Linked DNA regions of Mus musculus. The protein of the gene in region 1 interacts with the protein of each later gene in a pairwise test. Links are inferred from orthologs where the notes say so. Each region holds a gene or a part of one and is shown in the gene's direction. Other genes may lie near its edges.

Evidence for each region.
Region 2: the proteins of Sorbs3 (region 1) and 9330159F19Rik interact in binary tests that used the Homo sapiens proteins (3 or more experiments, as listed by UniProt). The two-hybrid records come from large-scale screens. The link is inferred for Mus musculus from reciprocal best matches to the Homo sapiens genes SORBS3 and KIAA0408.
Region 3: the proteins of Sorbs3 (region 1) and Cpne2 interact in binary tests that used the Homo sapiens proteins (3 or more experiments, as listed by UniProt). The two-hybrid records come from large-scale screens. The link is inferred for Mus musculus from reciprocal best matches to the Homo sapiens genes SORBS3 and CPNE2.
Region 4: the proteins of Sorbs3 (region 1) and Pak2 interact in binary tests that used the Homo sapiens proteins (3 or more experiments, as listed by UniProt). The two-hybrid records come from large-scale screens. The link is inferred for Mus musculus from reciprocal best matches to the Homo sapiens genes SORBS3 and PAK2.
Region 5: the proteins of Sorbs3 (region 1) and Sh2d4a interact in binary tests that used the Homo sapiens proteins (3 or more experiments, as listed by UniProt). The two-hybrid records come from large-scale screens. The link is inferred for Mus musculus from reciprocal best matches to the Homo sapiens genes SORBS3 and SH2D4A.
Region 6: the proteins of Sorbs3 (region 1) and Vars2 interact in binary tests that used the Homo sapiens proteins (3 or more experiments, as listed by UniProt). The two-hybrid records come from large-scale screens. The link is inferred for Mus musculus from reciprocal best matches to the Homo sapiens genes SORBS3 and VARS2.
Region 7: the proteins of Sorbs3 (region 1) and Socs7 interact in binary tests that used the Homo sapiens proteins (3 or more experiments, as listed by UniProt). The link is inferred for Mus musculus from reciprocal best matches to the Homo sapiens genes SORBS3 and SOCS7.

Annotation. Positions count from the first base shown.
Region 1 is NC_000080.6:70,204,872-70,208,943, reverse strand, and holds the start of Sorbs3 (vinexin), read left to right. Parts: upstream 1-1,272; 5' UTR 1,273-1,316; coding exon 1,317-1,420; intron 1,421-2,089; exon of another isoform or gene 2,090-3,580; intron 3,581-3,623; exon of another isoform or gene 3,624-3,833; intron 3,834-3,888; exon of another isoform or gene 3,889-3,956; intron 3,957-4,072. UniProt on the Homo sapiens protein: Vinexin alpha isoform promotes up-regulation of actin stress fiber formation. Vinexin beta isoform plays a role in cell spreading and enhances the activation of JNK/SAPK in response to EGF stimulation by using its third SH3 domain.
Region 2 is NC_000076.6:29,210,272-29,214,442, forward strand, and holds the start of 9330159F19Rik (uncharacterized protein KIAA0408 homolog), read left to right. Parts: upstream 1-1,371; 5' UTR 1,372-1,595; intron 1,596-4,171.
Region 3 is NC_000074.6:94,531,656-94,535,827, forward strand, and holds the start of Cpne2 (copine-2), read left to right. Parts: upstream 1-1,372; 5' UTR 1,373-1,538; intron 1,539-4,172.
Region 4 is NC_000082.6:32,076,543-32,080,526, reverse strand, and holds the start of Pak2 (serine/threonine-protein kinase PAK 2), read left to right. Parts: upstream 1-1,184; 5' UTR 1,185-1,439; intron 1,440-1,475; exon of another isoform or gene 1,476-1,694; intron 1,695-3,984. UniProt on the Homo sapiens protein: Serine/threonine protein kinase that plays a role in a variety of different signaling pathways including cytoskeleton regulation, cell motility, cell cycle progression, apoptosis or proliferation.
Region 5 is NC_000074.6:68,275,147-68,279,327, forward strand, and holds the start of Sh2d4a (SH2 domain-containing protein 4A), read left to right. Parts: upstream 1-1,381; 5' UTR 1,382-1,726; intron 1,727-1,739; exon of another isoform or gene 1,740-1,801; intron 1,802-4,181. UniProt on the Homo sapiens protein: Inhibits estrogen-induced cell proliferation by competing with PLCG for binding to ESR1, blocking the effect of estrogen on PLCG and repressing estrogen-induced proliferation. May play a role in T-cell development and function.
Region 6 is NC_000083.6:35,664,793-35,668,926, reverse strand, and holds the start of Vars2 (valine--tRNA ligase, mitochondrial precursor), read left to right. Parts: upstream 1-1,334; 5' UTR 1,335-1,653; coding exon 1,654-1,854; exon of another isoform or gene 1,855-1,861; intron 1,862-2,001; coding exon 2,002-2,083; intron 2,084-2,171; coding exon 2,172-2,272; intron 2,273-2,674; coding exon 2,675-2,796; intron 2,797-2,887; coding exon 2,888-2,954; intron 2,955-3,043; coding exon 3,044-3,141; intron 3,142-4,074; coding exon 4,075-4,134. Other genes in the region: Gtf2h4 (general transcription factor IIH subunit 4), read left to right, coding at 270-317, 421-499, 925-1,097. UniProt on the Homo sapiens protein: Catalyzes the attachment of valine to tRNA(Val) in a two-step reaction: valine is first activated by ATP to form Val-AMP and then transferred to the acceptor end of tRNA(Val).
Region 7 is NC_000077.6:97,386,292-97,389,791, forward strand, and holds part of Socs7 (suppressor of cytokine signaling 7), read left to right. Parts: intron 1-2,820; coding exon 2,821-2,956; intron 2,957-3,274; coding exon 3,275-3,395; 3' UTR 3,396-3,425; intron 3,426-3,500. UniProt on the Homo sapiens protein: Substrate-recognition component of a cullin-5-RING E3 ubiquitin-protein ligase complex (ECS complex, also named CRL5 complex), which mediates the ubiquitination and subsequent proteasomal degradation of target proteins, such as DAB1 and IRS1.

The DNA of each region.
Region 1 (4,072 bases):
TAGTTGGCAGTACTGCCAGACCTGGAATCAGGAGATGGCCCCAGGGATGAAACAGAGTCGAGATCTGTGCTAGTATATCTATGGTGACTTGGCTTCAGCTCCTCACTGCTGGGTTGGTTACGGACTCTAGAAGAGTCCGTGTGTTCTTGGCTACTCCCTTCTGATCTGTAGAAAGAGAACACTCTTCTAAGAGCACAAACCAAAAAGGACATGAAAGCCTACCTCAAGAATGTACTGAAGTTTGTCCTAGGGAAGGAACTAGCCGGTGCCTTTCTACCGAACAGGAAGGTCAGGCCTGCAGCAGAGATGTCAGTGTCTCATCCAAATGCTAGACTGTCCTGGACACTAATTGTGATTGAGACTAATTGGTAGTCACTTGACTAATGGTACTTTGAGTTGGTGGCGGAGGACAAGAGGACTATGGGGCTGAGGGGTGGGGGAATGTGCATAGGACAGAATTGGCTGCCTGGGGCTGGGTGGGGCTCCTGGTGACTGGGATCAGATAGCTAGAAAAAACAGAGCAGTTACGTAACTGTGTTTACATGGGCTCAGGTGGCTGTGGCAACCATGGCAGTCCTTGACCCAAGGCCATGCTGGAGGGGTGCAGGCAGCCGACTACTAGGGAAGGAGGTCCCTCTTGAGCAGAAGGGTGTGCAGGAGACAGAGCATGGCATACTGACCAGGGCTGCACTATCTGGGACAATGTTACCTGGCTCTAATGTGCCACTGGAAGCTACTCAGGGTGAGGCAGGCAGGCAGCAGCCAGCTACAGCTAGGGGGAGGGGTCAGGAAACCAGACACCTGGCTCTCTAAGTCCAGTCTCTGAATTCTTGCTACATTTTTCTCCCTAATCTTCTTAAAAGAGGAAGAATTCTCCCTAAATCTGGGCAGAAAAGAGGGCAGGAGATTATTTAAGTTTCCTTGGACTTACCTGCCCTGCGGTCCTAGCGCCTCGTGCCTCCGTGTTTTGTAAAGCCATCCGAATACTTGTGAACACAGTGAGCTCCAACCTGAGAGGTGGCGAGCCAGCCCCGGCCTGACTGACAAAGCAGAGCTGCAGCAGTTCAGCCCTCCATTGCCACCCTCCCCGTTCCTCCCAACCTACATCCTCCAAGACTGTTTACTAGACTCCCCATCCCCATAGAGATGGGACTGGTAGCCAGTCCTCAGCTCCCTTGCCCACACTGTGCCTTCTCTTGTGAGAAACAGGAAGTTGGGACCTTCGGCAGCTCAGCGGCACCCTCTACATTAAATATTTATCTTGGAGTCCAGGTCAGAGCCTTAGAGCCTAAGAAGTTCACTGCTGGTGAAGGGGGATGGCCAGGATTCTTGGAGTGGGAAGATCTTCAGCTTCGTCTTTGAACAACAAAGAAGACAATGAAAGTGATGTAGCCCTTCTTAGTCCCAAGGACCCTAACAGGTGGGAAAACTTTAAAGAGGGACATGGGTAGTACTTTTAATCCCCTGGGGGAGGGGGAGGCTGCTTCCCTGGAATGGGTGGATAATCAAGTGGCAGAGAGGCTGTGTACAGCTGCCTGACCTCAAAGAGGGTCTCAGAGCTCCTCCACTCCTCCATCTCTCTCCCTTCAGCTTTCCTACCTCCGCCCCTCCCACAAACACCGTGTACTGTGTAATACCTACATCCGTTAAAAACACCTCACGTATGCGAATCAGAGCCCTGTTAGCAGGTTTACATCTCTGGAAGCCTATGAAACTGCTTCCTGAAGACTCCCCACTCATGGGAGCTCTGGCACGCTCATCTCTTGAGCTGTCCTTGACCTAAGTTTCCCGGGAGGTGGGGGTGGGTTTTGTTTGCGGGCACCACAAACAGTTCTTCCCCCACAACTGGGAAAATGTGAAGCTAATAAGAGGTGAGCGTGCTAGGGGCTGTGATGTCCTGGGAAACACTAACTCCAGGTGGCTCAGGCACCAATTAAAAGGCAGTAGGTGTCATTTACCATACTCAGCAGTGGACCAGAAACCGTTTTTTTTACCGGTTGATTTGTTGGGGACTTGGGTTCGCAGTGAATCCTAGGCTAGGAGTACTCCAGGGTTTCCATTGTCAGTAAACATTTGCCCTGGCACCTACCAGCAGAAGACTGGACGAGGAGGGGAGGAGGGAGGGCCAGAGAGAATGGGGAGCCAGTGGGCGGTGTCCTTCAGATCTGCGTCAGCAGTCAGCACTGTAGGAACAGCGGAAAAGCAGGATCAAAACAAATACGGTGAATGGGAACACCAAGACCCTCTTAACCTCATCCCCGCCCAAAGGGCCCCACCCTTATCCTCTTCAATGCTGTGGCACGTCCAGGGAGCCGGTCGATTCCCTCCCCCAAACTTTGCACGTGTGTGTGAGCATCCTCACGTTTGCCAGTACACGAGTGTTTGCAAACGCCTGGTCAGTGCGCTTAGGTCTAACAAGCATGAACTCTCTCTCCCCAAGCGGGTGTTGCCTTGTTCCTGGGCCACCGTGACTTATCTCGGTCCCAGCCTGTCTGCCTCCGGGCCTGTCTCCTGCCTCTCCAAGGCCGAGGGCTGCGTATCTAATTCCGGCCCCACCCGGGCTCTGGCACTCAGGGACCATTCGGTTAATCACTCCTGCCCTGTGTCCTGGCTCTTGTGGAGCAGCTCGCTTCCCACACCCTGGAAATGTCGCTGGAAACTCTGAGTGGCCCCCGCCAGCCCTCCCGCCCCTTTCTGACTCCAGCTTTGCGGTGGGGGCCGGGGAAGGCATCTGGGAAACCCAGCGGGCTCCCGGGGGACCCTCGGTGGCCCCTCCCGGCACCGCCTCCTGGACAGCCCGGCCCCTTGGGCAAGGGGCCACAGTGTTCCCGTGGCGCGTCGCCGGACAGAGGGCACTCGCGGGAGTGAGTGAGGGAGTAGCAGGCATCTCCACTTTACTCCAGCATAGCCCCGGCTCACAGTTCAAATCCAAGTCCCAAACTCCTCCTGCCGCATTCATCTCAGGGTCCTGCCTCCTAGCGCGCCCCCTCGGCCGCTCTCTTCCTTGTTGGGCGCCGAGCCTGGCCCAGCGTCCTGACCAGTCACGAGGGCCGTGACCACCCGCACTTTTCCCTGCCCTCTTTCCCCGAGGGCTCGCCGCGGCTGCTCCAGGCAGAAGCGGGCTGGGATGCTCCTGCCCTCCTGGGCAGCCCCAAGCCCCCCCACCTGCTCGCCGGGGGAAGGTAGGTTCAGCGATGCAAAGGGGCGGGAAGGAGGCAAGACATAGCCTGGCGTGGACCGGAGCGAAGGCGTAGAGTCCCTCCCTCCGTGTCCTGGTCTCTGAGGTTGTACAAACCAGAAAAGGTGAATTTGAAACCCCCTGACCCTGTTAGTGGGGAGCTATAGTTTGATAAGACCTGGAAAGGCAGAGAACGACGTCCCCACCATCAAGGCCTCACTCAGATGGGAAGGAGTCCACCAAACCTGGACGTTCTTCATTCTTCTAGGGGTCTGCTGGAATGCAGGGGCTGCCTGGATTCTGGGAACTCACCAGAGGTGTCCGTTTTATGCTAGACAGATACCAATTCCCCAGGAGACCTCTGTCTTCCTTAGGTTCTGCCAAATGTCTCCAGGCAGCCTGCTGGGAGAAAAACCAGGACCACCATGGGGGGCCCTATCCTAACCTCGAGTATTCCCAGGAGCTCAGTGGGAGGGGAGCCGATGGAGGTATCCTAGGGTCAGTAGCTCCTGAAACAAGGTGGTGATGGAGAACTGGTCCTTTTTCCCTAGAGAGGACACTTCTGGATTTGCTGGGAGGGTGGGACACAGTGACATTAGGGAAGGAAGGCCTGTCAGCTGATGGGTGCAACTGCTGATGCCGAAGGCAGTTTGGCCTCAAGCCCTCAGCCGGGCAGGGAGGGGTAGCACACAGCCGGTGTGCCCAGGCTTCCTGGGTCATCAGTCTGCCTGGCTTCACTTTCCCCTGGAGGAAGTCCGAGAGTCGGCAGGCAGCAGCGGTGAGGGCTGCGGGAACGGGTGGCGGGAACGGGTGTGTGTTTGTATGGTTAGCTTTTTGGTAAGAGCTTTAATTGAATCCAGCTGGTGGGCTGCACCTCAGCCTCCCCTCCCCACA
Region 2 (4,171 bases), on another chromosome or scaffold:
ATTACACAGTTAAATGGGGGCAGAAGTATTGAGCCCTCGGTCCCTATAACAATATTCCAGGGTCCCCAAACTGGTTCCAAGTCCTGCTCCTCCTCTCAGAGGTCTTTCTGTGGGCTTTGTCAAGATGTTTTAGCTCTCTAAGCCATGGATATAAGTAAGATCCGGTGAATAAAACTGCAGACAGTTGCTAAGGTGGTAAACTGACACGAAGCTCCACTTGACATCCTTAGCACAGAGCTTTGCTTAAAGCTGCTCCCAGTGAATAACTAGTGTTGCTATTGTAACTATGACGATTGTGGCTGCCCCTGGAAATATGAATCCTAGCTCTCTAAACATAGGGAAGCATTTCTTTCGGTTATTCTGCCTGTATAACGTCCTTCTATGGAAGTAAAGAAGCTGGAGTTGGTGGCTCAAGACCCTAATTCCAGGACATGGAAGACTGAAGCAGGATTGTACTAAATTGAGACCAGTTTGAGAGGCAATATTGAGTTTTAGGCTAGCCTGTTTTGCTAAGCAATGTTATATGCTAATTAATTAGTCAGTTGACTAAATTAGATAAATATATGGTTGCCCTGACCAGTTTACCATTATTAAGCAATTTAGCTCCTTATGGGATGGAGCTTGGAGGTAGGCAAAAAAAAAAAAAAAAAAAAAAACCAACAAAAACCAAAAACATGAAATTATGGCATGCTTCAAATGACACATTGTTATATTGTACAGTCGGAAAACTTTAGCTTGACGATAAGAGCTTATTACTTAAAATTCAGTGTAACTGATTTGCTATATTGGCCCTAAAGACTTTATTGACTAAAGTAAACCACTATTCTCTCTCTCTCTCTCTCTCTCTCTCTCTCTCTCTCTCTCTCTCTCTCTCCCTCTCTCTCTATATATATATATGCCCCATTTCTATTTTGCATAAAGGCAAACATTCAATATGTTTCAACATACATTTTGACTCATGCTTGCTGGTGTGTGTGTGTGTGTGTGTGTGTGTGTGTGTGTGTGTGTGTGTGTGTGTGTATTTCTTTTTTTTTTTCTCACACATTTCCACTTCATCCCTGGCCAGACTAACAAAGACACTGAAACTGCATCTCACTGTAGAGAGAGAGGGAAAGAGAGGGGATGGAGGAAGAGGATGGTTCTTGCTCCTAAAAAAAGAGTCTACTTTCCAAATAAAAGAAATCTAAATTGTCATCATGTGCTGCTAGCAAGCAGATCTCTCCTGGCAAGTTTGAAAATGCTAGGCTCCATTATAAAAGTTAAAAATGTCCTGGACCTGGAGTTGTTTACCCAGAGGATATAACTGCTCTAAAGTTACAGAGCTGTGGTTGGAAGCAGCAGCCTTAAGGCCGCCTCCAAGTCCCTGACGTCATAGTAGCCCAGCTGCTGTTGTGACACTGAGCAGAGTAGCTCTTTGAAGTTCAATTTGCAAAGGCGTTTGTCAGGACCACTGTGGAAGATGAATGGATTTTGTTTTATAAAAGAACCACTGAGACTGTTCTTTAAGACAACTAGCTCTCTGCCCCACCTCTGCCATTGCTAGACTGGCCACACAGAGCCTGACCTGCTGCAGGACGACCCCCAAGTGTAAGAAGGTATGTTTCTTCTTGGCAAACTTGAACGAGCAAACTGGGTAGAGCAGGATACTGCTTCTGAATCTTAGATTAAAGATGAGATTTAAGTAAGTGTGTTTTCAGCATCTCCTGACCTGGCTGTGCTTGTGGCTGGGCCTCCGAACAGTGGGCAGGGTACATAAGGGATTCAACTGCCTTGGAGAAGGGGCTGTTCAACTGCTAAGGGTGGATTTCTAAAGCTTGGACTGACAGCAACATCCTCATCCTGAGACTGTTTCTCATTCATTCTCAGCAGTTCAGAAAAACGTTGCTCAGTGTAAGTTTCTATTAACTATTTATTAGAATGCAGTCTGTGGTGGGATGAAGTTATTTTTAATATCTGTGATATAAAATTTACAACCTGTGAGTTCTCTGTTATTTGAAATTTGTAATTTAAAAAAAAATGTAGTTTTATTCAAAACTACTATTACACTCCAGGAGGAGTATTTTTCATAATGTGAGTTAAAAGACACTGGTGTTTGTTTCCTGCAAACCAAGAGTTGTTTTTAATCAAAGCTTGTATCTTATTGGTTAAGGGAACTAAAACTAATGCGCATGTGGCTTAAATTGAGACTATGAGGAGATCCAAGAATAAAGATGGTGACCCGATGAGAAAACAAGATTGGCTTCTTTGGAATTCTTTGTGCTGCATTTCTTTGACCTTGCTAGAAAACAAGGAGCAGGCAGAAAGAGCAATGAACAGCAGTGAATTTTTTTTTCATTTTAATCTTCTAATAAAACCGAATGGGAGGTCTCTGGATAGATGCATTTGCTGATGAACAGCACATGAGCAATAGGATTCCTTAATTGCTTAAAATGGTTCCAGTGGTGGAAAATAACCTGGAAAGTAAGGGAGGGAATTACTTTGAAGATAGGTGACACAGTACTTTGAGGTATAGGCACAGAAGTTCCTAATCCCACAAAATTCATTGGGAGCAACTTATTGCCAGGCCAAATGATTTCCTCTAAGAATTGTGAAGTTGGAAGTATTTGCTGTCTCTGACATTCCTTCTGCAGTGTGCATCCTCATGTTTGTAAAGGACTTGAAATATAAGAAATGCAATATGCGCCAGGCAGTGGTGGCGCATGCCTTTAATCCCAGCACTCTGGAGGCAGAGGCAGGCGGATTTCTGAGTTCGAGGACAGCCAGGGGTATACAGAGAAACCTTGTCTGGAAAAAACTAACAAACAAACAAACAAAAAGAGAGAGAGAAAGAAATACAATATTGCCCAGAAAAAAAAACGAGAAAATAATGGGCACAAACTCAAAGCAGAATTTTCCTAAGACCGAAGCAGTAAGATCAACCCTCCTGACATGCCTTAGTTGGCTAAAATCCAGTTTCAGCAGGCAAGATGGAGTTTGAAATGGTCATAACTGTGAAGTAGAAAGCACTGAGCATGCCTTGGGTAAAGATGTATGACCATGGCCAAACTGAGGTGGGTCTAGGGACCAAGACTGCAACAGTAATCCTCTGCTCAACGTTATTATATTTATATCTTTGCTTCCCCGACCTAAAAGTTGTTTATAATCAAAGTTTGTATTTTATCATGTACAGTTCATGAGCCCCCCTTTGCTGTTCCTATATTTTGCTCCTTGGCAGGACTGAACCATCAGCTAAACCGTCTTGCTTCCTATTACAGCACTGCACAACCCACTCCCCTTTATAATCTTGGTGTCTTTATATTCTTTATAACCCTTTATAATCTTGGTGTCTTTATAATCTTTATAACCCTTTATAATCTTGGTGTCTGATTTTGAGGAGAAGTAGATTAAAGGGGATTATGGAATGCTAGTGTAATGTTGCTAGGGGCGGGGCATTTGTATGACTAGCAAATCAAGTCACTACCTCTCTACAGTTCCTCTAATGAACTTCTATTCTGAATGAAATTTGAGAATGCTGAAATGAAACAACGAGGAGCTAGGAGCAGGGAGAAGGAGATGTAAAATGGAGAACTCCTTTCATCTCTCCCACAGTGATGCCAGAATATGTGGGAGGGGAAGCCTGACAGCTAAGAACAAGGAGAGCTTTTATATTGGCTTCAGTGGAGAGCCCGAAAGCCAGGCTTTTGAATGGCTAATCCATTTGGCCTTGAAACTTCTCACCACAGAACATTCTGTCCCCACAAAATAGATCATTTAGTCTGACATTCTAAAAACTCAATTTAGAATGATTAAAAAAAAGCAGTTTTAAATATTTATCCAACTTTTTACTAGGGACAAATTGTTTTGCACTATACTTAACTTAGTATATGTCTTTAATAAAATTGAAAATTACCAAGGCAAGAGAGTTAAAGGGAATATAAGAGTTAACCCATTGAGATTTGCTTCCAATGAGGGAAAGTTTGAAATAATTAGTTTTACTTTAGGGGGAAAAAAAGTGGTTTGCATGGAGATGAGTGAAGGAAAGGATGAAGGGGAAGTGGGAAGATGAAATGCAAGGGAAAGAAATCAGCACTTAGCAAGAATTTGTGGTCCTAGAGAGATTGCTCAGTGGTTATGACTGTTGAGTTCAATTCTCAGCAACCACATGGTGGCTCACAACCATCTATGTGATCTT
Region 3 (4,172 bases), on another chromosome or scaffold:
TGGAATTGCTGTGACCCCTGACCTTAGTACTCTGCCCTCCTGACCAAGACCTAGTGACATCTTTTCCCTCCCCTCCCCTCCGTACCCACCCCCCCCCAATCGCCATATTCTTCTGGGTTCTTAGAAAAGTGCTGGTCAAGTCCCACAGCTGAGTTGGGTCTCTGTGCTAATTGCCTTTCATCCTGAACTTCTCATCCATCTACTTTTCTACCTGCCATTGCTTCACAGTCTGGAAGAAGACGTTGCGGTCCCCATTTTCTACCTCTGCTCTAAGTGGCGCCACAGGTTGCTTTGTCCCAGAGCTGAGCAGAGGGCATGGAGGACTTTCTGCGCAAGAAGACGAGGAGAATCTGGAGAAAAGCAGAAAGCTCCGGGGACAGGCAGGCAGAGAGAACAAAGCTCTGTGCCCTAGGGCTGCTTAGTGGGGGCCCTTCTAAGGCTGCAAAGTGCCTGTGACTCAGAGGTGGAGGGAGCTCAGAGCTGCAGCGTGAGTCTCCCGCATTAACTCTTATCTGTCTGGAATAGAAAACCTACAACCTCAGTGCAAGGCTTTACCGCTCAGCCCCACAATCCCGAGACTTGTACACCAGGGCCCAGGGCTTTGGCCATGCTTATTAAGACCTCTGGACAGCCATGTCTCCCCCTACACCTCCCACAACAGAATCTGGTTAAAAGAGCTTCCGTGTGGTAATGTCCAGTGGTTTACTTGCTCCGAGGGTACAAAATACCACTGAGCGACCACCAGCTGCCCAGCGACAAAACAGTCCCTTAAGAACTGGTGCCTCTGGTTCAAAAGCTGGCTGCACAGAGGGGAGGCCTCAACTCTCCCGTTGATCCCAAACCCCACTCCGAACGTCTTTATCTCATCGTCTTTGTCACGGGAATATGTGTCATCTTCCCAGTCTCAGGCGGCAAGAAAACGCTATTGAAAGAAATTAAAAAATATATAATAATAAAATAAAAAAGGAAAAAAGAAAACACTGCGGTTCTTGTGCGCAGCTCGGAGGCAAGTCCTGGGCGTCTCCCCGAGGATTCCGTGCTGAGCCCTGCGCGCTTTAGGGTGAGAGCCGCGGGCGGCGCCCCGGGGGTCTAGCGGACCAGGAGATCGCACCCCCGGGTCCCCGCATCTTGAACTGGAGCGCAACGCGGGGAGCTCGGCGGTGCCTGACGCCCAGAGCGGCGGGCCCGGCGCTGGGTGCGAATTCGCGGCATCGCTCGGAGTGGCAGCCTGCTGCATCCAGGTCCTCGCGGGCCACCAGCCGGGAGCGGGACAGGCTCCGGCTTAGCCCGGAGAGCCGCCCCTCCAGGAAGCGCCCGCCTCGCGCCCGCTTCCCGCCCACATCCTCCCTCGACTGGAGGGAGGAGCCCGCGCCGCAGCCGGGGCCCGAGGAGGGCCAGCCCCAGCCCGGGCGAGCGCACGAGTGGGTACGGCCGCGCGGGTAGCGCCCTGAGCCTGTCCCGCGCCGCCGCCCGGCCGACAGCACAGCGCCCGGGGATGCCCCGGCGGCCCGGAGCACGCTGAGGCTGCGGAAAGCGCGGTGAGTGGGGTCCGCGGCGAGGGCGGGCCGGGCACTGTGTGCGCTCAAGTTCGGCCTGGGGCTTGGAGGGGGAGTGGGTTCAGCCGAAGGGACTCCGATGTCCCTGGCCGCCGCCCCCCGCAGCACGCCTGGGGGGGGGGGGCTCAGCTCCCACCCGGCCACGCGGGGGCGCCCGTCTGCGGGGGGCGGCTGGAGGATGGGCGGCTTCGGGGACACTGGCTAGCTATTTAGGAGACCCTCTTCCACCGTTAGATGTCTAGAGGGCGGCTGTGGGCTAGCGATCGCAGCCGCCAGCACAATTGTTTGGAGGCGAGCGCGCCCTTTGATCCCACCCTGACCAGGACCTGGCGCTACTCGGGATCAGCTCTAGGGCCGACTCCCTGCTCCAACTGGGGAGAAGAGATGGGGAATAGTGCCGGGCGGCGTTCCAGAAGTCGGAGTGTGTTTGCAAACTAGTTTTTGCGCAAAAGCTGTCTGGCACCTGTGTGTTTCAAGGGGTGGAGGAGGAAGCGAGAAGCCCTTCTTTTTTTCCCCATCCCCACAATGGTGCTCCTGGGAAAAATAAAGGAGACTAATGTTCCTTTTTCCTTCTCTTCCCCTCCCTTCCCGAATCCTGTCTTTGGTACAGCTGACTAGTCTTTGGATAAGGGGCTACCTCAAAAGGAGGCTGGGAGTGCCCAAGGTCACAGGTGCAATAGCAGTCCGGAGCTGGGTGGCCATTCAAAGGGTCCTCCTTGTACTCTGATTCTTCCTGCCCTATAAGAATTCTGGGGGAAGGGGAAAGGGGAAAGGCCTTTGAGAATTAGCCCAGATGCCCTTTGTTTTGTCTGACCACAGACCACCATCATGTAGGGGTGTGGAACTGTCACGCAGAGATGGGAAGGGGTATTATACTGCCCCTCTCAGAGATAGAAAGGAGTATTATACTGCCCCTGGAGGTGTCTACCGCATCTTTGTTTGGAGGCATTGTTGCTAGGCAGGCTTCCTGCTGAGAATTCCCTAGTCCAGGGTTAGGGTCCTGCTTTCCAGCCTGGGGAGATCCCCTCCCTTTGCCTTCTTCCAGGCAGAGCTAAACTCTTCCAGAATATAGCTCCCTCACCATGGGCTCAGAAGGGATTTGACGTGGGCTCGTCAAAGTGGGAGGGCCTGGTCATCCTTCCTTCTTGTCAGGAAAGCTGCTGTCCAGGAGAAACAATTTAAGGTCCCTGATGCTTCAGGATTGCAGTCAGGGCCAGAGGTGCCTACTGACTCCTAGCTCTTTGCTTGCTGACTTCTGGTCAAGTGGCTGCAACTCCCCTTGTGAGGTCAAGAATGCTGCCTTTTGCATTGGATGAGAGCCCTTCTCCCACAGGAAGGGAGGCATTTTGGGTTGGGTTGTCATTTCTAGTGGCCTGTGAACAGTCCCAATATGGGAGTTGTGAGAGACTTACCTGGCCTTGAACACCTTTTTGTGACCGGAAGTGGGATGGTGGTCTCAACTGTGTATTTCCAGTTTCTGTAAAGTAGGACCGTCTCCTGGGCCTCCTGGAAACTGACCAGACACAAACACTAAAGCGAGAGTTTATTGCCACCTTGGCAGGGGGCCCAGTGAACTCTGGGGCTGTCCTCAGATGATAATGAGCCCCTGGAATGGGAGAGTTCATCAGATGCATTTCTGCATGGAAAAACCAGGGACAAAGGCTATGGATGCTTGAGTTCTCTGTTGCTTCCTGCCTTCCTGCCTTCATGCCTTCACACACACACACACACACACACACACACACACACACACACACACCCTTTGGCTCTGGGTGTTTTTCCATCTGTGAAACGAGGGCCGACGGCAATACCAGCCCATTTGCAGAGCCAGTAGGAAGGCTAGGGCCAGGAAACGGGGCAGGTATTCTTACACGTGGAGAGCTCTTCATGAGGGTCTGTGATTGCCTTTCAAGCCCTCCCCCAGTGCCGTAAGAATTAAAAACCCTCAGGGGACCACGTGAAGAAGAGGGTCAAAATGGAGCCTCAGTTTATCTGTATAATAGTGAGGTGTGCGTGCACTCTCTGTCCCCCTCTCTTTCCAGGTAATTGTGTGCTTCCTTAAAGGTAGTTGTGAGGATCCGTTTAGATGACAAGGAGCTTGTGTGTCAGCGCTGTGACTGGTGCGGGAGGCACTTGGGAACAGCTGTCATCCCATTGTTCCTGGGAATATTACTGCACTTGATTCGCATGACTGCATCCAACATTCCTTCTGGAATTTTTTTTGCCGGGGGGTGGGGGGGCGCTTAAGAGACGAGTCCTGGAATCAGATGCTGGTACCTCTGGGCCATTCGAGGGGCAGAGAGGCCAGGGTAGGAAGGTTCGTTCTACTCAGACCAAGTGTAAAGAAGTAATGCACCCCTACCTGGAGCTGACCTCACTGGGCTCTGACGCTTGAACAGAAGACGGAAAAAGCACTCTCTAGTAATTGCACTCCTGTCAGGAGAAAGGATCTGTACCTGCTGAGACTTCCTAGGTGCTCCTGCCTTCCCCTCTTCTGCCCTCCCCTAGCCCTGCGAGACAGGCTGGGGCTGCAGAGGGTAGGAGCAGAACACCTCCAGAATCCAGCCATCTCGCTTCGAAGCACATGGCTTCCGAAAGGTCTGTGTGGTCTCTATA
Region 4 (3,984 bases), on another chromosome or scaffold:
TAATATACCCATCTTACACCAAGGTGCAGCTACATAAGTCTTGTGGTTTTGGTTGTGAGCCTAGCCTTCATCTCTCACTGACCGTGGCAATCCTCTTCCTACTTGTAATCCTTTCCCCTCAGTTCTTCCGAGTTCCTTTTTCTGTTTTAACTGCCACCTTCTCTGTCCACTCTGTCCACGGTAATCCCTCAGCTTTTTCCCCACCTTGTAACAGGTATCAGTGTTTTGGTTTTTATGTTTTCATACGTTTTTTTGGTTGTTTTTTTTCTGAGACAGGGTTTCTCTGTATAGCCCTGGCTTTCCTGGAACTCACTCTGTAGACCAGTCTGGCCTCGAACTCAGAAATCTGCCTGCCTCTGCCTCCCGAGTTCTGGGATTAAAGGCGTGCGCCACCACCGTTTTCATGTTTTTAACCTTTACAAAGACTAGGTGAAGCATGTTCATTTCTGGTACCTAAATGGTCTTTTGTAGATATTAGATATTGACATAGTTGTGGAATAAGAATACATGAATTAACTCCTCCATTGATAAAATACAGAAAAATAAAAAAATCTTTGTTTTGCAAAGAGGGAGGACCTAATTTAGCAGCATAATCTGATTCAACTTAATCTGGTTAAATTTGTAGGAAAAAAAAAAGCGGTGGCGTCGCATTCCTTTAATCGAGGCCAGCCTGGTCTTCAAAGTGAGTTCCAGGACAGCCAGGGCTATACAGAGAAACCCTGCCTCCAAAAAACCAAACCAAACCAAACCAAACCAAAAAACAAAGTGAGCTGGGCAGTACCTCTTCAGGAGGCAGAAGCAGGAGGATCTCTAGTTCAAAGTCAGCCTGGACTACAGAGTGAGTTCCAGGACAGCCAGGACTCGAAAAGCCATCCCTCCCCACAAAACACCAATTGGTGAATGGATACATTCTCAGAAACAAAGACCCTCTACACACAAATATGTTTGGATCAGCTGTTCTCCGTCAGCTTTGTCAGTAGGTAAACCGTAACTGCAGACAATGCAGAATGCTGATAAATGAGGGACAGGTTTTCTCTGTAACGCCCACTGTCCTGAGTCTCCCTAACAGATGACTAGACTACGGTTCCCAGCCGCCCTGTGAAAGCCCGCCCCTCGGGTCATGACGCCACTTTCAGGGCGGGGCTGTCTTACGGCCCCGCCCCGCGCCCCCGCCGCCGCCCTCCCCCAGGGTTGTGGCCACGCGCAGCGGCAGCGGTTGTTCCGCTTCCCCTCCGGCCCGGGCCGTCGCCATTGCCGAAGGCTCCTGCCCTCCCCTCCCTGGCCCAAGGGGTTCTGCGCCTCACGGCCTCGGTAGCGACGGCCGCGCCCCGCGCCGCTCCCCTCCGCCCTGCCCTCCTCCCTCTCAGCGCCCCAGCGCAGTGCTCGCCCGCGTCGGCCAAGCAGCCCGCCCTGGGTCGGGCGGAGACCTTTCCTCTCTGGTAAGTGCGGTTGCCGCTCGCCCGGGCCGGGCCGGGCCGGGCCGAGCCGCCGCCCTCCTCCCGCCTCCGCGGCCTGGGCCCAGCGGCCCGGGACGCCAGCACCTGCGGGCGGGCCCGCGGCTCCGGGCGGTGGCTCATTGTCTGCGCCCTGGCTCTAAGCTTCGGCCGAGAGGAAGCTTGCTGGGCTGTGGGGACCCTGGCCACTCCGGCCGTCCTTGCCCTTCTCTCCCGCCGGCGCTGCACCGGACGACTCGGGTTTGTTCCTGGATGTTCCCTCCTTTACCAGCTGCGTTCTCTGCAGTCTCGTCGCTCGGGAATCCTGTCGCGAGCTCCTTAAGTTCAGTGTGTAAACTCTTCCTCCTCCTCCACATTAGGAAAAAGTTTTTGCCGGGCTCTGGGAGCCTGCGTTTAAGAACAGAAGTTAAGGATCTTACGGTTTTTGCTTGATCTTTAGCCAGGAGGTGAATATTTGCTTCTTAAGGTTAACTTGGGCTGAGGTTGGCTTTTCACCATGTTTGGCTGTCTGAAACACGCGCGCCCTCACAAGAAAAAAAAAAAGTTGCTGCAAATAACTTAATGGACTCAGCCTTTTGATTAGTTCTAGATCAAGTCGTCCAAGACAGAAGTGTGTTAAATAATTGCCATTGTGGCTTGATGGGAAGGAGGCTCTCTCCATCCCCTGTCTTAATAGAACTAGGTAGAGTGGAAGTGAGATTTGTTTCCTCTTTGACAAATCACCAACTCCCATCGATAGCCGCCAGGTTCTTCTTTACAAGTGACCTGTAGATTTTCCAGCTTTTCGTTTCTAACCTTTTAAAAAAAGACAACCAAACCGGTTAGGCCCAAAATTAGACAACGACGAGCTGAGCTGTGTTTTGGGTGAAGGTTGTGCACGTCACGTTTTTCCCCTGCTGTATTCGACTCTTCCGCTCTTATAAAGTAGGCAGGATATTGAAATAAATACACAAGAATTTGCTCTGGGGATTTTTTTTTTTTTTTTTTTGGTAGAGCTATCCAAAAGAATAGTATGAATAAAATTAGGTTGGGATGAAGGCAGTGAGTAGTAATTTTTAAAACAGGTTAGGGCACGTCAACTTTGCCAGAAGCTCTGTGGCATTTGTAGAACATTCTTGCTTGTCTCTACCCCAGTTCTTCAGTTGGGGTGTGTGTGTGTGTGTGTGAAGGAAGCCTTTTTCGTATACTTTTATACCCATCCTCTGCCTTTCCTAGACAGGGCCTCATTCCAGCTCAGGCTGTTGTGACACTCTTCCTGTCTCAGCCTTGTGTGCTGGGATTACACGTGTTAGCCAACATATTTGGTAGCCTCTCTTTTTAGGTCTTTCTAGAGATTAATTAGCCAGGAACACTATTGTACATTTACATCAGGGAAACTGAATTTTATATTGTTGCTTAGATAGATAGAAAATGTAACTTTTGGGTTTTGGTAAAAGAGGTTGCCCAAAATTAAAAATGTTTTCTTCTTGTTTTCACTAGTACATTATTACCTTTCCCTCTGCCAGGCTATGGGGGAAATGGATTAGTATCAAGTACTGCCATCCTTTGGTACTGTGGGTTGTTCTTAGGTTAGTGAGTTGTCTTGACACTAGGGAGGAATGTCAGGGAATGAAAAAGTACCTTGAAGTTAGTTTCTGCTGTTTCTTTCTCCTTTTTAACCCCTTGTACCGGATTGAACCGCAGACCTCCCTGTGATGCTAGGCAAGTGTTCTTTGCAGCACTGAGTTACAAGCCCAGCCCTCTCTTCTCTGTGCAGACAGTCTCACTGTTTCCCAGGCTGGTATTGAATCTCTTCCCTACCAGGTAAGCCTTGAACTGGGGTTTTCTTCTCAACCTCCCTAGTAGCTGGGATTGCAAGCCTGTGCCTGCAGAATATCTCATTTGTTTCCAAAAGCAGGTATTTGTTTGTTTTTCTTTGGAGACAGCCTCTTTCTATGATACCCAGGTTTGTTTCAAACTTCTGGACTTAAGATCTGCGTCAGAATCCTAGCCAGTGAGATTACCATTGTGTTGGGCAAGCAGACATGTTTTTAAAAAGAGAATTCTTGGGTATTTCACTTATCTTGGGGCCTTGATTCCAGATTTACCTTTTGAGAGAAAGAGATTAATTCTTCTGGGCTTTGTGATCCGTGTCCTGAAACCTAAATTCATGAAGTGATAGTTTTTAGTTGATATATGTCTGATAAAAGGTTCTCGTGTTTCTTTGATTTTTATGATAGGCAAGTTTCCAACTAGACATGATGAAGGCTAGTTTTACGTGTTTTAAATGAGGAAATTTAAAACTTGTTCTGGTTAGCTAAAGATAAACTCTGAGTTATACTTTTACAAAATGCAGGAGCTTGAAATAATTGCCAAGTATAAAACTAGTAGCTATGGCTGAATCCTTACTATCTTCATCAGTATTGGTTATTACAGTAATAATGTTCCGTACTCGGTGCTTTCAGTTTTCTGGCTTTGGTTCAAATTGGACTGTGTTCCAGTCTTGAGACTAGGTCAGGCCTTTCTCTCCTCAAGCACTGCTAGTTACAGA
Region 5 (4,181 bases), on another chromosome or scaffold:
CATGCTTTGACCAGGATAATTGCTCATAGCCTCAATCCAGGTAAGGTGAGACACAAAAATTCATAGCCTTGGTATAAAGTAGGAACACGAATTTACAGTATCTGATGTGGAGTAATAGGAGCAAATGCATTTGAATATTGCGTGCCAGAAATGGTTCTGAACACTTTGTGCAAGAGCCTCTATCTATTCAATAGTCTCTGGCATGCAGTAAGTATCCAAACATATTAGGGCCAGCCATGCTCTGAGCACTTTGCATGCATTATCTCACTTGAGCCTCACAAGAATTGAATCAGCCAGGCACTGCTGATATCGTGAATGGCAAACTGTAAGGCTAAATGTAAGGGGGAGAGCTGTCATCAAGAAAGGCTTGTCAGGACTTGGAGACAGAATGAGTCTGGAGGAGGGTACCTAGTGATAGCATCAGTGTCCCATGGGCCCCTGAGCTGGCTGATAGCCAGCTTGTACAGCTCCTTAGTTTCCAGAGAGTGTGAGGACACGTGCTGAGCAGATACCACCAGTAGGCAGAGGAGGACAGAGCATTCTAAGGCACCTCATCTGGCCACCCAGTTCAGTACAGTGGAGAGTAAGCTTCGGGCCGGGAGTCCTTGCCTGAGTGGATCTCAAGCACAATTCCCAAATGGCTGAGTCGTGTTTCCTGAGAGTGTAGGGTGTAACTCCTGGCTGTAAGGTTTTCCAACTCAAGGGTTTTCTGCGGTTGTGAAAGCCTAAGATAAACAATGTTTGGGTCCAGCATGCCAGGCTCCTAAATCGATTGGACAGGGTGTATAAAGTCACACCGTGTTTCTTGTTTATAAGACTTCTCTCTAACCTCCACAGTCTGAGGTCCTGTGTCATCCCTCCGCACCTCTCAGCCCTGTTTTCTCCCCACATCCCTAACGTTCCTCACCCGTGGAAAAGGCTGGTCCACCTTTCCACTCGGCTCAGCTTTCCTCCCTCCCACGTATGCTTAGGCTTCATTGGTGCTCTGTGCCATCCGGGCCCTGATCTGTTAGTCACAGGGGACTTCCACCTTTTTCCCCCTTTCATGTTTCTCTCCCTGGCTGCCCCTGTCCCTAGTGCCTTCAGCCTGCAGCATTCCAGTCTTTCTCTTCCTTGATCATGCTCGGTAAAGCCACACCTGGAGTCACAAATGCTTCAGAGTTTGATAATTTACTTAATGTCAACAAAAGAGAAGGAAAAAGTAAGCTGTAGAATGCAGGGGCAGAACTACAGCCAACTTGGCCTGCAGGACCCAGGTTCCCAAATGGGCCTTGCCTGCCTCCGCAGGCTCCACCTACAAGTCAAATGTGGAAGGGGCCGGACTATTGTAATTAATAAGTCCCACAGACCCCCACTGAGGTGGTAAGGCAAACTACCCCAGACTGTAGACAGCGCTCTAGATTAACCAAGGACTAGTGGCCTTGCTGTCACTGGACCAAGGCAGCCAAGCTTGCCTACTGGCCCTGGAGCGCCTCCAGCACCCGGGTGGGGCCTTGAGGGAGCGCCCAGTCAGTCACCCCAGCATGTGGGCGCGGCGGGGCGGGCCAGGGCTGCGATCTGGACGCTGAGTGTCCTTCTGGTCCCGAGTGTTTGTCCAGACAGCCCGCGCGGCTGGGTCTCTGGGAGGCTGGGTCTCTGCTTGTCCTCCCTTCTCTTCCCGGACAGTTGCTGTAGGCAATCTGGAGGTGGCAGGTGCTTGGGTCACCTTGCTCCGGGTACTGAGCAGGTAGGTGACCGGGTCGGGTAAAACGCTGGAGCATGGAGCCAGGCAGAAGGGTGAGCGAGGAGTGGGAACCAGCAGGTGAGTCTCTAGAGCGAAGGGTAAAGCACAGAGGACAGGGACAGGAGGAGACCCTGGTTCCCGCGGTCAGGCTGTTCACCTGTCCCTCTGGTCCCTCCTCCACCGCGCGCAGGGCGAGCTCGGGTGCCCAGAGGAACCGACCGCCACAGCTGTGGGTGTCCGATGTCTCGTGTAGGGTGTCCAGTATCGGCAGCCGGGGCCGGGCGAGTGGCGGCCCTAAGAATAGAGGGCTTGTGATCATTATACTAAGAGTCTCCAGTGGGAGGAGAATCGGAGGCAACTTGGAGTCTTTCAGGGAAGTCATGGTGCCCGGGCGGTGTGCATGCACGCGTGGTGAGTGCTTACACTGGCCGGGGCAGGTGCAGCTGCGGAAGCAACCTGCGAGGGTCGGGGCCACGAAGCAGGTGCTGGGTGCCTGCAACAGTACCCACAAATCAGCGGAGGTCCAATCACTGGGCAGTGCCATGTGGTCTCTCCTGGCCCGGAGGTGACCTTCCAGACAGAGTCCTGAAACCTGTTTCAGCCCACGCAGAACTCTATTAGAGAGCTCCCCGCGCGGGGACACCCTCCCGCGGGCGCCCTCACGTGGTACAGAGAGCAGCGGGCTCGTCCCCTCCCTATGGTTCTGGGTCAAGGCTCAATCTAAAATCAGCCTAGCAAGAACTTTCCTCAACAAAAGTAAACCATCCGCAGCCACTCCTGCCCTGGGGGGTTCATGGGCCCTAGGTGGAGTCACTCACTGTTTGCAGATTTTCTCAATAGTGTTTCTCTTCACTATGGCCCTAGAGAAGCAGGGATAACCAGCTACATCTTGCTCAGTTCCCTGACAAGCTTCTCTTGTTTGTGGAACGAAACAATGTATTTATAATTTTTAATTTAATAAATAAGTGGAAGAAATACTTAGGTGAAGATTGGGCACAAATGGACTTGTCTAGTTATATCTGTGAAATACTTCAATCTCGAGAGCATTTACAGAACTTCCAGCTGCTCTCACCACTTGCAATTTATTTTATTTTCAAAATCATCAAGTAAATTAATGAGAAAAAAAAAATCGAACAATCCGAAGCCTGTCCACAGAGCTAGCTGTTTAAAGAATAGATAGAACTTAATCTAAATTCTTAACTTTAGGGATATATGTACTATACATACCACGATAATTCTATGAAGATAGCTGTATTAGGCTCTATACTAATTAAAAACACAATTATGTAGAAAAATGGAAAGTGTGAAAGTCAGACCAGATCTACAGGTATCCTGGGAACCTAACTGAATTTTGTACTCTTTCAAATTTTTAGAGTGAGCAACAGGTATGGACTTGTTGCTTGTTATTTGTCTTTTTCAAAAAAAAAAATGCCACAGGAGAAGAAAAACAAGTTAGTTGAGCTGCACTTTGTGTTGAACCTCGAGTGATTACACTCAGTATGAGACAAAACCATCACCGTGCAGATCAACGTTAGCAGTGATTGTCCTGTAGAGTGAAAGAAGGAAAAACCCAGGCGGATTCACTTCCTCCTTTTTATTTCCTGTACTTGTCTCAGGAACTTCAACGTAGATTTTATCTCAGTATCCAAGAGCTACAAAGATCCCCAGATTAATTTTATGGATTAGGAAATATGGTCCAAAGACTTGAGGTGACCTCCCAAAGTCACAGCTCACTGGAGGCAGAGCTGGGAATCTAGGCTGGTGTCCTTTGAAGTATCCTGTAAGCCAATTGCTGCTATACTCAGAGGGAATCAGCAGTCCAATTTGGTGCCCATAGTCAAAAGCCATCACTTGTTAATTGGGTTTCTTTTGTATTCTCTGAGGCCACCAGGAGCCACTGTAGTTTCTTCAAGTGTAATTAAACTGTCCCTGGTGGTCAGGGTCTATAATAACAATTTTGTGAGAGAAAAAGGGCAGTCAGTATGGAAAGCTGAAAGCCTGCTTAGGCTAGGATGTGTTAAAAACTAGCCTGGACAATTGAGACTCCATCTCAAAATATAGAGTAAAAGGGGGACTGGAGGTATAGCTCAATAACAGTGAATTTGCCTAGCATGTGCAAGGGCCAGGCTTTAATCACCAGACCATAAAATAAAACATTCCAGATAACATTGATGCTTGAAGCCCATGTTACACAAGCTACCCAAAGCAAAGCCAAAGGAAAGAAAAGAGCTTGCACACCTCTTTACTGAGGTACTAGGAAAGGGACTATTAAGGAGACAAAGCACCTGGCAAGTGGAGAATAAATGGAAGACAAACTCCCTACTGGACCAATGTGGGTGTCAACCTTGTCTCCTTTCTGGATGGGGTATTTTCTTCTGTGTCTTCTCTAAGCTTATCTGTACTTGATAAGGGTAGGGCTTCTGCACTGCTGGGGTATCTCCACTTGTGCAGTTTTCTT
Region 6 (4,134 bases), on another chromosome or scaffold:
CAGGCCTGGGTCTTGTCAGGCTTGTGGCTAGGAGAACAGAGATGCTGTTTCAGTGACATTAGCTCAGATGACTTTCTACATTCTTCTTTTTTAAAGTTTTATTATACATAAGTACGCACCAGAAGAGAGCGTCAGATCTCATTACAGTGGTTGTGAACCACCATGTGGTTGCTGGGATTTGAACTCGGGATCTTCTGAAGAGCTGTCAGTGCTCTTACCCACTGAGCCATCTCGCCAGCCCGATTTTCTACATTCTTGTGTTTTCCTAGATAATCCATTTCCTAAGGACAAGGGCACATCCAGTGATGCTCAAACAGGTATGACTGGGTACCAAGACTCAGGGGGGCTGGCAGCCTGGGCACCTAGCCGCGAGAGGATGGATGAGAAGCCAGGTCCTATAGCCTCACCCTTGTCCTGCAGAATCCTGTGCTGCCCCCCACCATAACAGACCAGATTCGGCTGTGGGAGCTGGAAAGGGACAGACTCCGGTTCACTGAAGGTGAGTGGCTTCCGCTGACCTAATCTCAATCATTGGCTAAAGAGGTAAGGCCAGCAATTTCACGCAAAAGTTTTGTGCATTTCGTATTTGTTTCTCAAAAGGGAAGGAGAGGAAGACTGATCTTTTATTTTGGTATATTAGTAGCAGGAAATATGTCCCAAATCAGTGCAGTTTGAATTAAGCTAGGTGAGGGGATAAGAGGCAGGGTAATTCAGTCTTCTCTTTAGGTGGGTTTGCGTGGCTTTTCTTGTGGATTCTGCTGTCTTTTCGAGTGTCTGGATGCCACAGGTGTTAAAGTTGAACAGTCGACTATCCGTAGAGAATTAGTCCTAAGAACTGTGGCCTGCAGCCCCTGCCTGCATGCTGCTTGGAGGGGCAGAGACCACTGCAGCCCCTCACCTCCTGCCTGTCCCACCCGACCCCAGGCGTCCTGTATAACCAGTTCCTGTCGCAAGTGGACTTTGAACTGCTGCTGGCCCACGCGCGGGAGCTGGGCGTGCTTGTGTTCGAGAACTCGGCCAAGCGGCTGATGGTGGTGACGCCGGCAGGGCACAGCGACGTCAAGCGCTTCTGGAAGCGGCAGAAGCACAGCTCCTGAGCCGGCCAGGTCCAGCCCCGGGCGGGCAGCTTTCCAACTCAGATGTATTTTGTTTACACACCGGGATATTTCTTGTTTAATAAAATTATGGAAAAAAATCTACGCGGCTTCAGACGTCTGCCGGCGTTTCCCTACCCAACGCAGTGATACCCGCTTCTAGCCAGAAAGCCGGAGGAGCGAGAGTCTTTTACGCATGCGCCTGCGTGTCCCCGCCCACGCATGCGCGCGCACCTCGCCATGCACCTATCGGCTCTGAGTTCGCCGGGACGTTCGAGTTAGAGGCGCATGGCCGAGGTTGCGGGGGTGGGGGTGGTCCCAGGCTTCCGAACCCCAACCTTCGTGTCCGCGTCAGTGCCCGGTGACGGGCAGAGCTCCCGCCTTCTCTGGACGCCCTGGTTTCAGTGATTCCAGAGTGCTGTCCACACCGTGCGCTCCGCCCCTAGGCGGAAGGACGTAGAGTGAGAGAGGGTCCTGCGGATGGGAGTGAAGGGTTGCGACCTCCTGCATCCCATGGCCTCGTAGTGAGCAGACCTCCATCCCTTCCCAAACACTCCCGATGCCTCATTTGCCTCTGGCCTCTTTCCGGCCACCGCTCTGGGGGCTGAGGCCCTCATGGGGTCTTTCCAGGCCCCAGGCACTTTGTACACAGCCGGAGCCCCACGGCTCCCCTGTCTCTCGGAGGAACCGTGAAGCCAAACAGAAGCGCCTGCGCGAGAAACAGGCGGCCCTGGAGGCTGGGCTAGCTGAGAAGAGCAAGGTCAGGGGTCAGTCCTTGGGTCTCCCAAGACTTGGGAAGGGGCTGAAAGAGACTGGCGCAGGGATCCAGATGACTGTGGTGTATTGGGGATTGCAGCCTCCACCCCCACTCCGCAACACACACACACACCCTGTTTCCTCCCTGCAGATACCTGCAGTGCCCACTAAGGCCTGGAGTCACAAGGAGGTAGTATTGTATGAAATCCCCACCGGGCCAGGTGAAAAGAAAGGTAAAGTGTAGGGTGTGTTTTGCGATGTTGTTGCTCTTTGGTCTGCTAACATGCAGTTCAGTAGTGGATCTCTGTTCTGCTTCCACAGATGTTTCTGGGCCCCTGCCTCCTGCTTACAGTCCCCAGTATGTTGAAGCGGCCTGGTACCAGTGGTGGGTGCGAGAGGGCTTCTTCAAACCAGAGTATCAGGTCAGTGCGCGGCAGAGGGCTTCTATGAGGTCCTTAAGACAGAGTGAGTGGCCCTTGAACTTGGTGGGCACAGGCTAACTTCACAGTTGATGTTTATTTCTTTCGGCCCCTGGTTTTCTTTTTGCCTCCCCCGTGTTGGATTTCAATAATAATAATAATAATAATAATAATAATAATAAATTTGAGACACTGTTTCTCCACGTAGTCCTGGCCGTCCTGGAACTCTGTAGACGAGGCTGGCCTCAAACTCAGAGATCTGCCTTCCTCTGCCTTTTCACACGTGTGCCACTACACCTGGCCTTCTTGAAGTTCTTTTTGCCCCAAGGCACCAGAGGGTGCTGTTCCCCTAGGCAACAGCAACAACTAGTTCTCCCTCGCCTCTGACTTCCTCATTCCTTCCAGGCAAGGCTGCCCCAAGCTACAGGGGAGACCTTTTCCATGTGTATCCCACCTCCCAATGTCACCGGCTCCCTGCACATTGGCCATGCACTCACAGTGGCGATCCAGGACGCACTTGTGCGCTGGTGAGAGGCGGTGGGGCCACTGCAGTTCCCGAAGGGAAGGCTGGAAGTGAGGATCAGTGAGCTCAGAGTCCCCATGGTGTTTCTGTGGCAGGCACCGGATGCGTGGGGATCGCGTGCTGTGGATCCCCGGGTCTGATCACGCAGGAATTGCTACACAGGTGGGTCTTGTGCCCCCCTCTGCTTGGTTGAAAGTGCCGTCTTTATGTGAAGCCTGACTAGCTTTCATTTACACCTGATCCCATTTCAGGCCATGGTGGAGAAGCAGCTATGGAAGGAGCAGAGGGTGCGGAGACATGAGCTGAGCCGGGAAGACTTCCTCAGGGCCGTGTGGCAGTGGAAACATGAGTACGAGGGCAGGGCCAGTGGGATTGTCAGCACTACTTCTGACTTGTAGCATTTGGTTTTTCTGGCCTTGTGCTTCACTGTCTCGGAGCAGAGGGAATGATGTCTGAGCCAAGAGTGTGTGTGTGTGCGTGTGTGTCACAATGTGCACATTTGTCTGTATACTGTGCTCATGTTAGAATGCACACACGTGTGTACTATGCTTGTGTTGGGATGCACACTTGTGTGTCCTATGCTCATGTTAGGATGCACACATTTATGTGTATATGGATGGATATATACAAATGTGTGGTTTATTTAACCTCCTTGTCTTATTTTCCTTTGGACTTCATCACCTCTCCCATGCCCCTGGGCCTTCCTATGTCTGTGGTGGTCATGTGCTTCTCTCTCTCTTTCTCTCTCATTTTCTCTCTCTCTTTCTCTCTCTCTCACACACACACACATTTTTCACAAAGTGGCTGCTCCCGATAGGTGTGTACAGGCCTTGGCCCATGGGCCTCTTGCATCCCAGTGTAGCTGTGAATTGTAAACTTAAAACCTTTTGAGGACTTTTTGCTTTACTACATAATTCTCAAATGTAAACTTTGTACATGGCAATGACCTGTTACGGTGTTATGCAAAACGAATGCATGTATGTATGTGCATGTATGTGCCTCCAACCAGTGGGCTACAGCTTAGACACTACTGGTTGTAGCCTAAAATAGCCATCCATCCTGTGTGTCTCAGAGAAGCCAAAGGTTTAGATAACCCTGCAGAGACCTTTCTGTATCTTTTAAAGCCATAGGACGCCCCACCCCAGGTGTGTGGTTCTATCTCCATCAGCGGGGTCAGCTCTATGCGCACTTTATTTCCTCCGGTACCTGGCATTGGCGAGCACCTATGGTTAGTGCTGGGAGGTGCTCTGGTCATATTTACTGATAGAAATCTCTGGTGCAGGAAAGGAGGGGAGATCTATGAACAGCTGTGTGCTCTGGGTGCCTCTCTGGACTGGGATCG
Region 7 (3,500 bases), on another chromosome or scaffold:
CCCTTAGAGGCTCATGACCATGTTAATAATGTATATTATATATTCCAACTGACTTTAACGATCCCCATTGTCTTTAACAATTTCATCTTTTTTGTTTTTCCAAGACAGAGTTTCTCTGTGTATCCCTGGCTGTCCTGAAGCTCACTCTGTAGACCAGACTGGCCTTGAACTCAGAGACATCCACTGCCTCTGTGAGTGCTGGGCTTAAAGGCGGGTGCCACTGCCCAGCCAATTTCATCTTCTTTTTAATTAAAAAAATTGTGTTTATTTATTTGTGTATATGTATATACATTTGTGTGCCTAGTGCTCATGAACCATCAGAGGACAGCTTACTGGAGTTGGGTCTTTCCTCTATCTACCATATGGGCTCTGGAGATTGAATTCAGGCTGCCGGGCTTGAATTCAGTGTCTTTACCCACTGAGCCACCTTGCCGACCCATCACCAGTTTTTTAAAAAAGTCCAAGGTCTATTTTTTTTTTTTTTTTTTTTTTGGTTTATCGAGACAGGGTTTCTCTGTGTAGCTCTGGCTGTCCTGGAACTCACTTTATAGACCAGGCTAGCCTCGAACTCAGAAATTAACCTGCCTCTGCCTCCCAAGTGCTGGGATTAAAGGCGTGTACCACCACTGCCAGGCCAAGTCCAAGGTCTTAACTGTGAGTTCCTATAGAATCAAACACTTCCGGCTTTCCAGGGTTCCGGGGGTTTGAGAGCCTGGATTCTCTGTTAAAATGAATCTAGGTCTTCACACACAAGATGGACCTCTAAGGGCAGAGCTTTCCTTCGGGACGCCTTCCTGTTGTGTTAGTGAAGATAGGCACTCTCCCTTCAGTGGTGCTGGTCTCTAACAATTACAACTGCTTTCTCAGGATTAGCCTGAGCACTCTCTGGTTTTGAAATTTCCTTTGCCAAACAAATTAGTCCATTAGCTTTCCTCTGTCTCAGGTTCTCAAGCTGTAAACAGAATGAAGGCACATTCTTGGCTAAAATCGTACATTAGTGGCCTCTAGCGCAATTCCTGATAGAATCCTTGTTCCCCCTGGACCCTCATGAGGGAACACGTCAGCAACCATGACATGGCTTTGGAGACAATCTACAGCCTTCACTTCCTTTTTTCCTCAGGCCTTCAATCAAAAAATTTTAAAGCTGTTTGAAATTAAACCCCAGTAATTGTAGAATTTTATTTTCTAACCATTTGTGTTTGTAGTATTTCTTTGGATATGACAGTGGCTAAGAAAATAATTCCTAGCTGGGTGTGGTGTCACACACTTCTAGTCCTTGCACTCAGGAGGCAAAAGCAGGTGGGTCTCTGAGTTCAAGGCCAGCCTAGAGCCTGGTCTACAGAACAGGTTCCAGGGCAGCCAGGACTACACAGAAAAATCCTATCTTGAAAAACCAAATGTGAGTGTACTATCACTGTCTTCAGACACTCCAGAAGAGGGTATTAGATCTCATTACAGATGGTTGTGAGCCACCTTGTGGTTGCTGAAAATTGAACTCAGGACCTCTGGAAGAGCAGTCAGCGCTCTTAACCTCTGAGCCATCTCTCCAGTCCACTTCTCAATCTTTAGTTTGCTTCTCTTAATCTTCATAGTCCCATTGCTATGGAAACCAGAACATTGTTAGTTCATTTGAATGTTTTAGTCCCTGATGTCCTTGTCCTTGGTGGCTGGGTTCTGTGGCATTGACTGTGGGGGTTGGGCTTCCCCAGCACAGGAGCTCTGACCCATGTAGGAGTGTTTGCTTGGAGCCTGGCAGGTACACAGGACAGGCACCTGAGCACTGTTGCATGAGGCCCAGCTTGTGCAGCTGCAGTAGCTGTCTTTCAGAAGCATTGGTGTTGTTCCTGTAACCCAGCCTAAGCTCCAGTAGGAGAGGGAGAATAGCGAGGGAAGAAAAGTACCAAGCTGGCCTGGCCTGGCCTGGCCTGAGTAGACAGTTGCAGGAGTGGCAGCCTGGATACCAGCTCCACCTGCCCCCTTCCTGCTCACTAGTTGGAATGCTGTGGGGCCTTTGAGCTGAAATATTCTGTACCAAAACCTCCACAGAAAGGACTGGCCTCTCAACATGTGACCCTTTCTGGCCATAAAGGCTATTCAAACCACTGTACCTCTGAATATCCTGAGCTCTGATCTTTAAGATACTGCTAAATAGTGCTGCACAAGTATCCCCGTTCCCAACAGGGAGGCTCTGGGTTGTCCTTCCCTGAGAACCTCACGCTTGGACTTGGTCCCTTGGCTCCAAGCAGGCTCTATCGTGGTCTTGTTCATTGGGCTATTTTCCACAATTAAGAGTGATTCTGGGCCCAGCAGTGGTGGCGCACGCCTTTAATCCCAGCACTTGGGAGGCAGAGGCAGGTGGATTTCTGAGTCCGAGGCCAGTCTGGTCTACAAAGTGAGTTCCAGGACAGCCAGGACTACACAGAGAAACCCTGTTTTGAAAAAAAAAAAAAAAAGAAGAAGAAGAAGAAGGAGAAGAAGAAGAAGAAGAAGAAGGAGAGTGATTCTGGAACCCAAGTATTGGGACTTACATCTATGGTCCCAGTACTCAGGAGGCTAAGACAGGAGGATTGCTTTAGGTTGAGGCTAGCCTGTCAATAAACCAAAATGTTGCTGGGGAGGTAATCAGAGGACAGGAAATTCCCTTGAATGGTAATGGTGCTCTCACAGATGGCTCTCAACAGCCCTTTGTAAGGGGCTTTAACACAGAGTATATACATGAACTCTAAAATAGCCCTGTGACATCTTCCCCACAGCACTTCTTCTGGGAGCTGTAGTTAGCTTCGTTATTCTGAGTATCTTCCTTTGGTTTTATTCTTGAAGGACTGCCACCAACTCCAGTACAGCTGCTCTATCCAGTGTCCAGATTCAGCAATGTCAAGTCCCTCCAGCATCTTTGCAGATTCCGGATCCGGCAGCTTGTCCGAATAGACCATATTCCGGATCTGCCACTGCCTAAGTACAATGGGGTTGTCAGGGTTTGGGGTGGGGAGGGAGTGAACTAGAAGTGGAAGTGCCTTTGACGCTTGCAAGCTGCTCCTGGAGGCCAAGCCTGACGTAAAGCGTTTGTAGGCAGTGTTCTTTCGATTCTTAGCACTTAACTCTAGAGCTGTGACATTGCAGCAAAGGGAGCAAGATGTGTGTGTCATACAATATGAAGAAATGGAGAAGGGAGGAGGGCTCAGCAAGAGATGTATTCTTAAAGGAAACAGCAGTCATAGTTTCTGAGAAATGTCCCTGTAAATGGTACCCTCTCTGTCTCCTTGTTTTTCCACAGACCTCTGATCTCTTACATTCGAAAGTTCTACTACTATGATCCTCAGGAAGAGGTGTACCTGTCCCTAAAGGAAGCGCAGCTCATTTCCAAACAGAAACAAGAGGTGGAGCCTTCCACGTAGCAGCAAGGACCCCTGCTGTTGAACATGAAGGTAGGAACACCCTGTCTCTTTCTTTGCCAAGCCTAGGCACTAGGTTACTTCCTGGCCCACAAATTTGTCTGATAA